2 linked regions of the Notamacropus eugenii genome follow. The protein of the gene in region 1 interacts with the protein of each later gene in a pairwise test. Links are inferred from orthologs where the notes say so. Each region holds a gene or a part of one and is shown in the gene's direction. Other genes may lie near its edges.

Region 1 (8,015 bases):
GTCTCTCAATTATAAGATTATAAACTCATTAAGTGGTTTTTTTTTTGGTAGACTCATAAATTCTGGAAGTCTTTATCCCAGTTCTCACTTGTACTGATAAATAAGGTCCAAAGACTATAGCTAAGTCTCCTTAAGGCTCTAGGGCTAATCCTGAAGAGATATCTTTCTAAGGCTTTTGAGTCCCCACCAGTGTGCTTCCTGCCAAAATTATAAGTTTATGATCAATCTGTCAGCCAGACATTTAGTTTTAGAAAGGGGTATTTATTACAGTAGTAGAGTTGGTACAAAGCATCCCCAGAAAAGTTCTGTGACACTCTCTAGTAAGTATATATATAGAATCCAGGGGAAAGTAAATTCAAGGTTAAAAAGCACATGTGGCAAAGGATAACACAGGTTCTGGAAAAACCTCTTGTTGGCATCATAAAAACGTTCCTATTGGATATTGTTTAGATTTTCTGGTGTGCTCTTTATAGAGCCTGGAATCTGTCTTGTCTGTCCTTGACTCCTAATTTGGTCCTCCTAAGTCTGAGAGGGTCCTCTTTGACTGGGAGTGGGGAGGAGGAGATGAGGAGACTGACAAGAAGATCAAAGCCCAGGGCCTGGTTTCTCCTTCTGCATGAATTCTTTCTTAGGAATTTTGATGGAATGTTTTCTCCTCTCTACTTCCTCAAATCCTTCAGGCCCCAAATGACCTGATTTTTATAGATTATTGACATGACATAACAATTTCCTCAGTTAATTGGAATATAATTCCTGTGCAAAGTCACTCTAGTTAATCAAACAAGGACTTTTTTCTGTACTTAGTCTAAAGCCCATGATTTATTGATTGATTCAATAGAGAAGTGTTCTCCTCCAGTTAAGATATTAGACTTTAGCTTCTTGACACTTTGAAAAGAATCTGTGATTTGATGAAAATTCCATTCTTTTATATGATTTAAAAATAATTCTCAGTTCATATTATATCCAATCCAGCAAGTATTTAGTAAAACCTACTATATATCAGGTTCTGTAATAGACTTTTAGAATACAAAGGAAAACAGGTCCTGTCTTCAAGCAGCTTGCACTTTGTTAGGACAGCTAATAACTCTTTAGTGATCTATGTGCTTCTCCACTGTTAGCAACTTTATCTTGAGACTCCTTCGAACTAGTCCCCTCCCTGATTTGTAGTCTGAAAGGTCAAACCCACTGCAAAGTATTGAAGAGAAAGTCCCGGATTGTTGTACCCGTCTATTTTCACACTGCATTTAGTGTTGAAGATTGTCCCTTAGAATTTGGAAGGAGCTATTCATCTACTATCTTCGTTTATGCTATGTCCAAGCTGCTTCTGAAGACCAAGTGAAATATTAATAGCTTTTCTCCTTTTGAAATGCTTTAATCTCTCAGGTATCTTACTTGTTCTGACAAACCAGTCATCCTGAAAGTAGATTTTTAAAACATGTGCATACACACAACTCTTCCTCTTTAGAATGTTTACAGCTTCATTTTATTATTTCCTTTTGCATACAGAATAAATGAAAAAAGCATTTATGAAGTGCAAACCATTTGTGCAAATCATTTGTGATTTACACAGTGAGATTTAAAATTTAAAATTATGAGAACTGTGAACTTTAACTAAATTTGTTGATTTCTCTCCCACAATATTTTCTGGTTGACTGGGCTACTGAAGTAAAACTATACATTTTTTTTTTTTGAAGACTTGAATTGTCTTTTGCTGGCTGCTCTCCAAGTTCTTTAAGTTTTGAGTAAATCATACTGAAAGGTAAGTAAGTAGTGGATGTTGACTATATTATGACTTATGACTATGTTTTCAATAATCTCTACTCAGAGACTGGGCAGAAGTATAATGTTGTGACTTTCCGGGCCTTGATCTTATACACGAGAATGACATTTACCTTAGGAAACTCCCATAGGCTGGCTAATTGGAGAGCAGAGTTTCATACTAAGTTTGTCATTTAATGAAAAAAGAAGTTCAGAGTCACTTGGGTACTATAATCAAGTTGAGGGGAAATTTTAAAGGATACTCATTGGCGAGATCTCGATTATTAGGGCTAGAAAAAGATGATCTATGGAATTCATGTCTAAACCCTATTATTGACTGAACCATTAGATGAAAAAAAATCTGCTTTAGTCTGGATGTCAGACAAAATAGATTTCTGCTTGAATGACCCAGATATATTGCCTCATTTCTCTGATTTACTTTGCTAGTTGAAACCTGGTCTTTACTGGGAACTTGGGTTACATTGGGGGGCAGTAATGGATGGCAAGATGCCACAGTTACATTGTCTTCAATGCTTCATAAAAGATTTCAGGATATTAGTTGCAGTGTGACCCTGGATGAACTATATGTTTACCCTGGGATTGTTTTTTTTTTAATTGTCAGTTTCAGTCTAGTTATAATTAAATTCTTGGCTTTATGTGTCAGTTGAATAAGTTATATTGGGGAAGTAAATCTGAGTAGTGAAATAGAAGGAAGTTTCTTTTCTTTTTTTTTTCTTTTTCTTTTTTTCTTTGTATGCCCATACTGAGCACAGAGCCTTGGACATTGTAGGTGGTTAACGAATGTTCATTGAAATTTGTCTTATGTTTTGACAGTTTGCTTTAAATCCTAATTTGCTAACTTTCTCATCATTTATTCTGGTTATTGATGATGAATTCCATTCAACTAAACAGTTGCAAATTTTATGACAAAATAAGAGAGAAAATATTTTAAAAAATCTTTCATTGAAGCTTTTTTTGGTTGTAGCTATCCTTTCCAAGGACCATTCTGCCAATGTTAGAACCTCCTCTTGCAACAAAGCAGTACAGTTAAACAAACCAAACAAATGCGCTGATCATGCCTGACAGCATATACCTTATTCAGCACTTGTAGTCTACCACCTCTCCACTGACAGGAATAAGGAATATCTTATCATCAATCCTCTAGAGTCAAGATTGCTCAGGGCACTAATCTAACTCACACCTTTAAGCCTTGTTTTCCATTACATCATGGTCATTGTGGATATTGTTCTCTTGAAAGGGCACATGAAGAATTATGTATCTTCTCCAGAAACTAATATGGGAAAAGAAAGGTGATATGTAATTAGAAAAGCAGGATGGTATAGTGAAAAGAATCCTGGGATGAGCCAAAAAAATCTGAATTTGAGTTCTAGTTCTACTACTTAGTAGCTGTGTCATTTTGGGCAAATTATTTGTCCTCATTTAGCCTCCCTGTCATCATGTAAAATGGGGGAATAATACTTGTGCCATCTGCCTCACAGGGTTCTTGGGAGGATCAGATGAGATTTTATATTCCCAGATCAGTACGTAAAGTAAGTGTCAGCTATTATAATTTTACAGGGTTTCACAGTACTTCCTACAGATCTCTCAGTTGTTGAAGTACTACTGTATCTTTAATCATATACTTATGTATAGGTAACTATGCACTGAGGCATATGAGTGACTCAAAAGATTTGGCAGTAAAAGGCAGAAATGTCTGCAAATCATATAACTGAGTGATTAATACAGAAAAAGCTTTTAATGTTATTTTTCTTAAACTTCTATTCAAAGAATTGATTTATTGGATAATTTATCTTTTACTTGTCACTAATCTTAAAATTACAAAGAGGAAGGGCTTCCTTTTGAACCCTCTAAACTTCCTACTTGGGCAACTCCCCTAGCTTTTCTTCCTTCCTTCCTTACTTCCCTCTCTCCCTCCCTCCTTCTCTCTCATTCTCTCTCTCTGTTTCTCTTCCTCTCTGTCTACCTGTCCTAGGTCTGTCTGTCTATCTTTGTCTTTCTTGGTTTTTGATTGTCTATCTTTTTTCCTGTTTTAAGGAACTTCTCCATTTAAGAAATGGCAACTTGTCTAGCAAAGTAGATATGAGAGATGCTTTTCCTCCTATCTATTCCTCTCCTGTCCCAAAAACTCCTTAGTTTTTTTTTTTTTACAGTAAACCAAAGTTCATCAACTAAGCTTTTTTTATTTTTTAAAGACCTTTAAGATACAAACTCTTAAATTACAAACAGGTTTCAAAAGCTCTTTAAATTCCCAGGTCCTTTTATTAGCTCATTTTCTACTTCAAAATGTTTATCTCCTGGGTCAAAGAGAAACTTAAATCACTGCAGGAAATGCCAGACAGTTTATAAGAAGATCATATGATGGAGGGAAGGGCTTAAAAGTCATGGAGAAGCTAATCTAGGCTAGGCTGACTATAGTTAAGTAACCAATTATTCAGTGTCAAGAAGGAAAATGGGTAGAAGGAATGGTTGAATGGCATGACTAGAATCCCTTTCCCATGAGTTTTCATATGGCTTTTAGCAGCAACTAATTGAGGTTCACAAAATTTATGTGCTGAACAAATGCTTTTTCCTAGTTAGATTCACCCCTGTCAAGACTTTATGCTTTATTACAGGCAGAAAACACATCAGCTGGACTGTATTAGTTTTGCTGGCAGATTAATGACACACATTCCACTTTTTGTCAAACCTCTACCCTAGCCTGAAATGCTCAGAAAGTTGAAAAATCTGACCTAGCATGGAGAAAAGGCAGGCCTTTCATTTTTTCAGAGAGATTTTTCCACTTCTAGTCAAATGGTGGTGCTAGCTTTTCATTTTTGAGGCTTTGCATTTCCTAATTTCTTGGTCATAACAACCTCCTGTGTATTGCCACAGAGCAGATTTCACCAAAACAGAGAATGCAAGGGCACATGCACAGAAGCTGTTTAATGGGCTAGAAAGGTTAATAATCCTTCCTCCTGCATATTCTATAGTATAAGAAGACAGACAGGCTGTGAGGGAGATTCTTCTGTCCAAGTAGGTATTCCTATTTCTTTCCTCCCCTTTCTTTTTCTTGTCTTTTTTCCCCCTCTTTTTTTTGAGGGGGAAGGAATCTGTGTGTATGTGTATTGGTGTGTGTGCATGTTATTTACAAGTATGTTGTAACTCTAGTGCTTACAGCCATTCACTTTCTTTTTCCATATGACTTGAGGGATATTTACAAAGTCTGTTGGCCAGAGTGTTACTATGTTCAAGTGTTAAGTCTGAACTAAGTGCAATGGAAATTCACTTTTGGAATCATAATCAGCTGAGTCAGAGGGCAAGAAGAGTACCCTTTTCTTAGTGCAGTAGTGACGGACTTACTGCTCCCAACAAAATATATTTTTTGGACACAGCTCTCTCCATGAAATCCACAGAAATATTCCAGAATCACCTAAGTCTCTCTATTTGGCCAACTGTGCACATTGATGAGATCTGATAGAGAATACACTGAAGTTGTCATGAACATATGGCAACTACCTGTTATGTTATAGTAGAAATACAGCAACTTTTGGCAGTTCCAACCAAATATTTTGAACAAGCTGTTTCCTAGAAGAAAGGAAGATTTCCAAAAAGCAGCCTAATCCAGTGATAGGAGCCTAGGAAGAAGGACCTTGTCATTGATTTGCATTATAATCTCAAGCAATTTATTTCGACTCTTGACCTCAGTTTTCTTTTGTGTGAAAAAGGAAAAAAAAATTGGTTTGTTTGTTTCAGCAGGCTGGTGTCCTCATTAATGACTGTACCACATATGACGGTGTCACATGGTGCTAGTCCAGTAATGATGTGGCAAAAGCACACAGCAAGGACGGTACACTTTCATTTTGGTGAGAGGAAAGCCACAAGTTTCAGGAAATGTCAATTTAACTCTGTAGCAAGAAGGGAACTAGCCTCCCCATAGGAGATGATATAATTTAAAAAATACCTATGTTTGCATATAGATATAAGGGTAAGATTGTCTCAGGACATTAAATCAAGGCATGGAGTCCAAATCAAGGTACCGGATTTCACATGGCTTCATGGACAAGATTGAATAAACTTGCAGAACAACTCTGAGAAGGAGCTTGCTGGGAAAGTAGTGTTGTTTGAGGTGTATGTGTTTTTTGGTTGTTTAATTATAAGCTAGCTCAGGTGCAAGATGAGGACGAACATAGACTAACCACTCAAAATGCACTGAGCATTTAAAAAAATGCACAAAGGACCAAAGCAATTAAAGCGGTTGTTTTAAATCACTTCCTATTTGCTCATGAGTAATTTACTAATTGTCTTTTTACCTCCATTTCTCTATTTGCTAAAAGGAGGCATCATTTTTGATGGTTTTTTTGACACCTTTTGTTGTTGTTGTTCAGACCTGTAATTTCATCAGTGAAGGGAGCTTGCAGGTGAGGAAATGCCCTCTATCAATGTGGATTCCCGATTTATAGTCTTACAGAGTTGCCTGGCAGCAGTGATTCACTCAAGATCGTGTCATCAGTAAGTGTCAGAGGTGGAACTGGAACCTACATCCTCCCTACTCTAGGTCAGACTCTCAAATCTATTCCATGCAGCCACTTCTTGTTTTATTTCATTAATATTTATTTTATTCCATGGGTATCTTAATGATACCTACTAGGCTTCTGGACACATGAAATACTGCCGCAGAATTTGTCATGGGGTTTTTAAATTAAAAAAAATGAGTAATTATCAATAATTTAGATATGATTAATGTTGACTAGGGAGCAAGAGGCTTAATTTCAAAAATAATAACATTTATATAATGCTTTAAGCTACCAGGATTTGTCAATAGAACCTTTTTCTTAGTAATGTGGAAATACATATAATTTGTGACAGGGAGAGGGACAGATCATATGTTTCTTGAATTAGCAATGAGGACATAGTTACATAACTGTTGTCTACTCACATGAACCCTATTTCCTAAAATTTAACTTCAGCTCTACAATCTGCTATCTTGGGGGGAGTTAGGGAGTGATAGGCAACATGCTTACTTTAGACCTCTCAGATACATTTATACCTGACATCTATATGTTAGAAATAATTTCTGATGGCTCCTCCCTCATTTTTTTTCATGTTATCTGGATATCCTCTGCATATCTGTCTATAACTACTCTGTTCCCTTAGTTCTAATGGGGCCAAGGTCCTAGGTTTGAACTTCTAGTGGGTTGCTCAGTTAACATTAAAGAGAAAAAATTCTATTTTAGAGCCATAGATTATATGTCCCTAATACAGTCTAGCCCTTCACAGATGCATACTATTGGTTAAGATTAGGCAAAAAAAATGAGGTCTTTTTTTTGGTAGGGTGTAGCTTATTGTCACCAAAGGGAGAACCAAACTCAAAGCCCTTAGCTGCTAGTGGGTGGGTGAGTGATGTCTTTCTCTAGGAAGGATGAACACACCTTGGCTGTCTAGCTTGTTTTAAGTAGGATTTGGCATCATGCCCCATGTAAAATAGATGCTTTTAAAATTTACATTTTATAATGCTGAGAGTAGTGCTGGTGGTGCATCTACAATTAACCTTCTTGGAAACATCTCAGGAGAACTCGCCCAGGTGGGAAACTGAACATACTTTGCGTATTTATCCTAGGATAGATAATTTAGTTTACTGCGCCTCAAGAAGGCTGTGATTGTGCTTTCCTGAGGCAGCATGATACAATGGATAGAAAACCAGTCTTGTTGTCAGCAAGACATGAATTCGAGTCTAATACATACTGGCTATGTGATCTTGGCTAAGTTATCTCATCTCTCAGTACCAATCAAAAGACCTATACTATGACTCTGTATATATGTTAGAGCATTCCTTCCAGCATTAACATTCTGTGATTCTGCATTCCTTTCCCTGAGAAGCTACTATCCTAAAATATTAGACAACTTAGGCAAAATTTAAGCATAATTGTAAACTATAGTGCTAGACTTGCAGTCAGGAGGGCCTGAATTCAAATCCTCCCTCAGACAGTTACCAGCTAACTGTGACCTTGGTCAAGACACAACCTCTCTCAAACTCAGTTTCCTCATCTTTAAAATGGGGACAATAAGAACAATTCCTTTACAGTGTTGTTGAGGGGATGTGATAGTATGTACAAAGCACTTTCTAATCTCAAAGCACTTTATAAACATGATGATGATGATGATGATTGATGATTATTAAAAAAAGATTCATACATCATCATTCCTTTGGTTCAGTATTCCAAATAGAAAGATAGGCTTTGGCATCTACTCTTGTAGCT
Region 2 (8,343 bases), on another chromosome or scaffold:
CCCCGCAGCGTGGGTGGAGATCGAAGCCCAGGCCGTGGGAAGGCCTCTCCCCGCAGCGCGGGCCGAGATCGAAGCCCAGGCCGTGGGAAGGCCTCTCCCCGCAGCGCGGGTGGAGATCGAAGCCTGGCCCGTGGGAAGGCCTCTCCCGCAGCGCGGGCCGAGATCGAAGCCCGGGCCGTGGGAAGGCCTCTCCCGGCAGCGCGGGCCGAGATCGAAGCCTGGCCCGTGGGAAGGCCTCTCCCCGCAGCGCGGGCCGAGATCGAAGCCCAGGCCGTGGGAAGGCCTCTCCCCGCAGCGCGGGTGGAGATCGAAGCCCGGGCCCGTGGGAAGGCCTCTCCCCGCAGCGTGGGTGGAGATCGAAGCCCAGGCCGTGGGAAGGCCTCTCCCCGCAGCGCGGGCCGAGATCGAAGCCCAGGCCGTGGGAAGGCCTCTCCCCGCAGCGCGGGTGGAGATCGAAGCCTGGCCCGTGGGAAGGCCTCTCCCGCAGCGCGGGCCGAGATCGAAGCCTGGCCCGTGGGAAGGCCTCTCCCCGCAGCGTGGGTGGAGATCGAAGCCTGGCCCGTGGGAAGGCCTCTCCCGCAGCGCGGGCCGAGATCGAAGCCCGGGCCCGTGGGAAGGCCTCTCCCGCAGCGCGGGCCGACATCGAAGCCCTTTCTAGAAGCTGCCCCTCCATCCCTGAGCCCAGGGAATGGCCCCAGGGATAACGCACCCTCGTGCGTGATTTAGGCCTGGAGACCCCCAAAGGAACCTGTGAACCGCCCCTCTGAATCTGAAAGGCGGAGGGTCCAGAGCTCTGGGGGAAGGCTGCCCAGGGTGGAAGCCGGGCATCTTTTCTCTTAGCCAACAATCCCATGGTAAAGGGAGCTTGACTTTAGCTGAGGTTTCATCCAGCCTAGGGTCCCAGGGCCGATGTTTTCCCCGGCTGCTGTGATACATCTAGGCCAGGGCAGCTAAGCTGGCTCCTGGCCTGGGCCCGTTGCCCCCGAAGGTGAGATTTTCCCTTGTGTCTCTCCTGGTGCAGGAGAGGCCCCTGGATTCAGGGGGAGCCTGTGGCTGACCAGTGTGATTGAGGAGTACTTCACCTGAAGTGACCGTTCTCCCTCTCCTTTATATAGCTCTACCCCTCTTCCTCCAGAAAGTTTTCTTTTTCTCCAGCCAGATGTCCCGGTGGCAAAAATGCTGGGCCAGGAGTTAGGAAGGCCTGAGTGCAAACCTAGCCTTCCTGGCTGTGTGACTCTAGGCAAGTCACTTAATGTCTGTCTGCCTCCGTTTCTTCAACTATAACATGAAAATAGTGTCGCCTTCCTCCCAGCGTTTCTGTGAGGATCAAAAGAGATTCTATCTGTAGATGCTTAGCACAGTGCCTGGTAGGCACTCAGTGAGGGCGTATTTCCAGCCCTCTCCTCCACATTTTCTCTAGCAGATTGCTTTATCAACCCCTATCTCTCTAATCTCCAGTCTCTTCCTATCCACTGGTTTCTTCTCTGATGCCTATAAATACTCCCATGAACATTCATTAAGTACCTACTATGTGTTGGGCACTCTGCTGGGCTACAATTAACAGAGAGATAGCACTGCAATTAAGAGGGATTACGTGTGATTTTAGTTGGGACTTGAAGGAAGTCTGAGAGCGATCCAGGTCTGGGGAGGTAGGATCTGGTCTACGGAACAGGCAGGAGGCTGATGTCACTTTACTAAAGAGTATGTATTGTGGAGTGAGGTGTAAGGGGAGTATAGGAGCAAGAGGGGACTGGGCTCTGAAGGGCTTTGAACACCAAATTATGTATTTGCTCACAGAGGCAACAGGAAGCTGCAGACCTTTATTGTGTATTGGGGGTGACATTGTTTGACCTGAACTTTGGGATAATCACGTTGGTGGCTGAATGGAGAATGGGTTGGAGTGGGGACCAACTGGAGGCAGGCAAGCCCACCTGTAGCCACGGCAATAATCCAGGCATGAGGTGACACCAGGGTCCGAACCAGGGGCCAAGTCAGAAGAAAGAAGGAAGTATATTAGAGATGCTGCAGAGATAAAATTGACAGGCCTTGGCACCATATTGTATATGAGGGTGGAGTAAGAGAGGTTGAGTCCAGGATGCCTCCTAGGTTGGGAACCTGAGGGACTGGAAGGATGGTGGCACCCTCTACAGCCACAGGCCTTGCAGGGGAAATAACTGAACAAACAAAGGTCTGAACTTCCCGAGCATTCCAAGGAAGTGATGCATAACTATTTCCCAACAAATTGGAACCAATCGCCTTCCTCAGCTTTGGCACTGTACCTTGAAAACAGGGAGACAGATTTGGATACATTAAAAACAATCAAATAATACCAATTAATTAAAATGAAACCACTAACCAGTATATAACATTAGGTCATCTGATTTCTAACTGGAGGAAAGAACACAGACTTTGCAAATTGAGAGGGGGAGAGTGAACTGGTGCAATTCCCTGAAATCAGAAAAAGGCATGTCCCTCTACCCTGCAAGTGTCTGTGTACAATCAAAGATACATGGAAACAATAACTAATCCATACAGGGTCTGTTTGCAGATAAGACATAGGGAGGGATTGCTTGAGATACACAACTCCTGGCATCAGTCTTTGAATCTGACTGGGTTTCTGGTCAGCATAACCTAGGTCCTTGGTTAAGGGTCTCTAAGCAGCAGGAAGAAGGGGTCCAGTTTCCCAGCCATGCAGGGCTAGGACCAAACAATACAAAACTGTTTTCCCTCAATTCCTACAATTGAATAAAATTTTCTCTCAACAAAGAAATTGCACTAGGCCCATAACTGAATAGAAAAGGAACTGAGCCAGCGCCAGACCCGAGTCACAAGATGAAGGGAGTGGTTCCCAGTGTGCTGCCCTGATCCTATCACAGGGTAGGTAGGGGGCTTCATTTGGATGTATTAAGTTTAAGATAGCTACTGGATCTCAGATGTGAGACTGGAGGGCAGTGGAGATACTGGGGCAGAAAAGGTAGATTTGAAAATCATCAGCATGAAGGTGGGAGCTGATGAGGCTATCGAGGGAAGTACTATAGAAGGAAAGGAGAAGAGGTCCTAGGGCAGAAGCCCAAGGGACACCTATGGTTAGAGGGTATGATATGGAAGAGGAGCCAACAAAAGAGGCAGAGGAGGGTTCAGAAAGGTAAGCGGGAAACCAGCAGGGAGTGGTGTTCTGAAAACCTAGAGAGAAGAGAGTGTCAAGGGAGAGAGAGTGACCAATAGTGTCCAAGGCTGCAGAAGTTGAGGACAATGAGAAAAGGCTGGCGGGTTTGGCAGCTAAGAGATCGTTGGTCACCTTGGAGAGAGTGGAGAGTGGAGTCCAGTGGAATGATGAGATCAGAAGCCAGACTGAAAGAGGTTAAGAAGGGAGAGCAGCAGTACACCTGTTGGAGATGCCTTTTCAAGGACTTTAGCTACAAAGGGCAGAAGAGATAACGGATGAGAATTAGCAGGGATGGATTGACTGAAGATTTTTCCAGGAGAGACATGGGTGTGCATATAAGCAGTAGGAAACAAGCCAATAGAAAGAGTGAGGATGATAGAGGGGACAATCTGTTGGAGGAGATGGAATGGAATAGGATTACTTGAAAAAGAGGGGTTAACTTTAGTAAGGAGCAAGGCCGCTTCATCATATGAGACTGGAAGGAGGAGAAAGCACCTGAACGATAGATGGGGAAGAGGGGAAAAGAGGGAGCTCATGTTGACTGGCCTCACTTGTGCAGGCAAAAAGGTGAAAAACAGTGGGAGAGCCAAGGCTGAAGCTTGTCTGGGTGTAACTGGTAATATTAGGGGGCAAGAGCAACAAGGTGAAATGGATTCATCAACAAGTCAAGATGGGGACAAAATGAGAGCGTGGCTAGGGCAGGGGAGATGGCCTAGGAGAGACTTGCAGGGCCGGGGGATTGGAAGTCCAGTGAGAATGAAGGATAAGGCTTATGGAAAAGAAGGCAGAGGGAGAGGTGAAGAGCCACTCGATTACGATCAGGTACAAGGATTGTGGAATTCTCGAATACTGAAGGGATGCATTTGTAGGGGTGTATGCGTGGCTGAGGCAGGGTAGCACAGCTCGAGGAGGGCATAAGTTGGGGCAGCACTCCACATGTCCTTGAGATGACTTCAGTAGGTACCATCTCTCTTGCTACCTGCAGTCCGACCTTTTTTGTCCTTTTCTCCTGAACTTCTTGAAGAAGCCGTCCGTACCCAATACTTGTATTTCTTCTCCTCTCCCTTCATTCTGTACCTTCTGTGATCTGGCTTCCAGCCGAAACAGGTCTCTCAGCCTGACTCAGTTTCACGGCGTTCTCAGGGGTCCCCCTTTGTGACGTCTTTCCCGGACCCCCTTCTTTTCTTCCTGGATGCTGTGTCACGGGTTAGCTTCTCCACCAGACGGTTCTCGGGTCTTCGGGCCTCATCCCTGTTAAGCCATCTCAGACATCTTGGACTCAGCATGCCCCCGACGTAGCCCTCAACCGTCCCCGCTTCCTAGGACCGCAGGCTTGCCCAGCCCATGCGTCTGGTCATCTTCTCTCTGCCCGGGGGGGTGGGGAGGATGGAGCTTCAGAAGTTCGGGCACCTGTTCCGGGCCACAGGGGGAAGACGAGGAGGCTGAAGCACGTGTGTGTGTCCGAGCGGGAGCGGAGGCGCGCGGCCGGCGGGGAGCGTCGGGGTGGAGTTGCCTAGCAACCGGCCAAGGACGCGAGAACGCGGGAGCCTAGCAACCACAGGGCGCGCACGCCCCGGGGAACGTCGGGCCCTGCGAGGGCGGCGCAGGGAGGACGCGTTGCCAGGCGACCGCCCTCCTCGGCGAGACTCTCGCCGGTTTGGGAGGGCATCGCGAGATGAGACGTTGCCGGGCGACCGCCCCCGGGGCGCGCTTCAGCGGCGGGCATCCGCCCAGCTCCAAGATGGCGACCGGCGAGCTGTGCCGTCACCCAGCAACCCTCTGCGTGAGAGGCCGCCCCTCCCGGCGATTGGCTTGTGGGGCCGGGCCTCCGCTCGGCCCGCCCCGCACCAACATGGCCGCCCCGCCTGCGTCATCAGGAGCGCGCCAGGAGCGGCGGCGCCTCGTCGAGGGTGCGGCCAGGGCTGCCGCGGCGACCACGGGAGGGGACCGAGGCGGCGGCGGCGGAGGCAGCCGCGCGGGGCTCGGGATGGTGCCCGGGGCCGAGGGGCCGGCCCGCGCCGGAGGCCTGGTGGCCGACGTGGTCTTCGTCATCGAGGGCACGGCCAACCTGGGTCCCTACTTCGAGGGGCTGCGGAAGCACTACCTGCTGCCGGCCATCGAGTGCGTGCGTGCGTGTGTGCGTGCGTGCGCGGCCCCGCCGGGACCCCTGCCCCTCCCCTCCCCGCGTGGGGCCCGCACCCCCTGACCCTTGACTCCTGACCGCTCCCTCGCGCTGCCCTGACCGCGCCTATTCTCGCTCGCTAGGTACTTCAATGGAGGTCCCCCGGCGGAGACCGACTTTGGAGGAGACGTGAGCGAGGGCCCCTGGGGGTGGGGACTAGGGGATCTGGAGGGACGGGGGCTCTGGGGGGGGCCGGGCTCGCGGGAGGTGAGCACGGCAGCTCCCCCCTGCTCTGTCCGCAGTACGGGGGCACGCAGTACAGCCTGGTGGTGTTCAACACCGTGGACTGCGCCCCCGAGTCCTACGTGCAGTGCCATGCGCCCACCAGCAGCGCGTACGAGTTTGTCACGTGGCTGGACGGCATCCAGTGAGTGCGGGGCGGGACGGGGACGGGAGGGGGCCGGGGGTTAGGGGAGCGGGGCCCCGGGCCGGAGGGGCAGCCCAGCTGGCTCCTGGCTCCCTGCAGGTTCATGGGAGGCGGCGGCGAGAGCTGCAGTCTCATAGCGGAGGGGCTGAGCACGGCCCTGCAGCTGTTCGATGACTTCAAGAAGATGCGCGAGCAGATGTGAGCGGGGGCGGGGCCCAGGACTGGGGGCGGGGGAAGGCTGGGCTGGGGGCGTGGCCCAGAGCTGGGGGCGGGGGAAGGCTGGACTGGGGGCGTGGCCCAGAGTTGGGGGCGTGGCAGGCTGGGCTGGGGAGCCAAGGTTGGGCTGGGGGCGGGGGGAAGGCTGGAGTGGGGGCGGGGCAGGCTGGGCTGGGGAGCCAGGGGTGGGACCCAGGGCTGAGGGCTAGGGAGGCTGGACTGGGGGCGGGGCCCAGAGTTGGGGGCGTGGCAGGCTGGGCTGGGGAGCCAAGGTTGGGCTGGGGGCGGGGCCCAGGCATGGGGGGACCCAGCTCCCCCGCTCCCTGGCTGAGCCCCCTTTTTCCTTCCCAGTGGCCAGACGCATCGGGTCTGCCTTCTCATCTGCAACTCTCCCCCATACCTGCTGCCGGCCGTGGAGAGCACCACGTACTCGGGCTACACCACCGAGAGCCTGGTGCAGAAGATCGGGGAGGTCTGTGGGGCAGTCGGACAGGGGGAGCCGCAGTGGGGGCCGCGCTGGGGGCCGACTCTGAGGGTCTCCTCCCTCCCACAGCGAGGCATCCACTTCTCCATTGTGTCCCCGCGGAAGCTGCCGGCCCTGCGGCTCTTGTTCGAGAAGGCGGCGCCGCCGGCGATCCTGGAGACGCAACCAGCGGATGTGAGCCAGGATCCACGGCACATGGTGCTGGTGCGAGGCCTGGTGCTGCCAGGTCGGTGCCAAGGAGCACAGTGGTAGGTGTGGGGGGGGCAGGACAGATGGCTTTGCCTGCTCCTGTGCTTGTCTGGTGGTGGCCCCATTCCTTGCATTAGCGACCAGGGACCCAGCTCCTTGGTGAGCTCCAAGATCTTCAGGAGCAGAAGGGGAACAAAGGGGAGCTTGGTTCTGGCTCAGCTGGGTCCTGACCCTGCGGGGGGTGGTGGGGTCCAAGGTGGGCAATGGCTTCTGGTCTGGGCCTAGCATCTGAGTGCTTTGCTAAAGTTGCTTGTTTTCCTCTGGCATTTCTGGCCCTACCACCCCTCAGTGGGTGGAGGTTCTGGCCCAGGCCCCCTCCAGTCCAAGCAGCCCGTGCCACTACCTCCAGCACCACCCCCTGGGACCTCCCTCTCGGCTGCACCCCCTCAGCCACTGCCTCCTGTTTCCCAGCCCTACCAGGTATGCAACAGGGTTATCTAGGAAAGAGGGGGTGAGGGGCTGGGTCTGGGGATAGTGGGGGCTCCCAGGGCTGTCTGCCCCTCCTTCCAGGTGTCCAGTAATCTCAGTGCAGCTCAGGTGGCTGCTCAAAATGCTGTGGATGCTGCCAAGAACCAGAAGGCAGGACTGGGCCCACGCTGTGAGTATTGAGGGAGGGGGGGCATTCTGGGTGGGGAAGAGGAGTCATCCGTGAGGGATGGACCCTCTGTAGGCACCCCAGGGCCCTGCTCTGCAACTTGTTTTCTCTCCTGGCAGTCTCACCCATCAACCCTCTGCAGACAGCGGCCCCAGGAGTGGGCCCCCCGTTCAGCCAGGCTCCAGCCCCTCCGCTCCCTCCTGGGCCCCCTGGGGCTCCCAAGCTGCCCCCAGCCTCCCAGCCTAGCCTGGTGGCAGCAGTTGCTCCTGGGTCTGGGCTGGCCTCTGCTACCCAGTCTGGAGGGCCCCCCATGGTACGTGCTTGCCCTATCTGAGCTCTCTGACACATACTATTCCCTCAGGGTCCCCTGTCCTGGGTTCTCTGTGGCTGACCCTCTGCTCTCCTGTTTCCTGTGAGCAGGCTGGCTCTGTGGCTGCGGCCGGGGTGAGTGGGCCAAGCCCGGCTCAGCTGGGGAGTTCCGCACTTGGGGCTGGGCAGCAGTCAGTCACCAACAAGGTCCTGGCATGGAGTGGTGTCCTTGAGTGGCAGGAGGTAGGTGGGTCTGGAGGAGAGGGGTGAGGCAGATGGGTAGGGAGGAGGGGCTCCCGTGACACTGCCTCTGCCTTCCAGAAACCCAAACCGGCCTCAGTGGATGCCAACACGAAGCTGACAAGGTCCCTGCCCTGCCAGGTCTATGTGAACCAGGGAGAGAACCTGTGAGTGTGGGGGGTGGTCTAGGTGGGGTAGAGGAGTGGAGGAGAGGCAGGAGGCAGGGGAGGGGTGAGAACCACAGATCTTCTCTGTTCTCTGCAGGAAGACAGAGCAGTGGCCCCAGAAGCTGATCATGCAGCTTATCCCACAGCAGCTGCTGGTGAGAGCAGGGCCTGGGGCTCCCCTTCTCCCTGAGCTGCAGGCCCACCCCAGGCCCCCTTGGGCCATGTTTCAACGGCCTCCGCTGGTCCCTGCTACCTGTCTGCCCTCGTCCCTTCTCTCAGCTTGTCTGTTCTGGTCCCTCTTCTTGGGGCCCCTCACCAACCCCTGCTGCACATATTCCTGTCTTTTTTTTTTGCAGACCACACTGGGT

What was found. The genes of interacting proteins can lie anywhere in the genome.
Region 2: the proteins of ESR1 (region 1) and MED25 interact in a two-hybrid assay, tested with the Homo sapiens proteins (2 studies listed by BioGRID). The link is inferred for Notamacropus eugenii from reciprocal best matches to the Homo sapiens genes ESR1 and MED25.

The regions. Positions count from the first base shown.
Region 1 is NC_092873.1:243,779,964-243,787,978, forward strand, and holds the start of ESR1 (estrogen receptor), read left to right. Parts: upstream 1-4,653; 5' UTR 4,654-4,791; intron 4,792-8,015.
Region 2 is NC_092876.1:12,106,551-12,114,893, reverse strand, and holds the start of MED25 (mediator of RNA polymerase II transcription subunit 25), read left to right. Parts: upstream 1-5,004; 5' UTR 5,005-5,018; coding exon 5,019-5,287; intron 5,288-5,431; coding exon 5,432-5,477; intron 5,478-5,590; coding exon 5,591-5,715; intron 5,716-5,814; coding exon 5,815-5,913; intron 5,914-6,282; coding exon 6,283-6,403; intron 6,404-6,484; coding exon 6,485-6,641; intron 6,642-6,953; coding exon 6,954-7,084; intron 7,085-7,174; coding exon 7,175-7,262; intron 7,263-7,378; coding exon 7,379-7,572; intron 7,573-7,679; coding exon 7,680-7,811; intron 7,812-7,889; coding exon 7,890-7,975; intron 7,976-8,072; coding exon 8,073-8,130; intron 8,131-8,331; coding exon 8,332-8,343. UniProt on the Homo sapiens protein: Component of the Mediator complex, a coactivator involved in the regulated transcription of nearly all RNA polymerase II-dependent genes.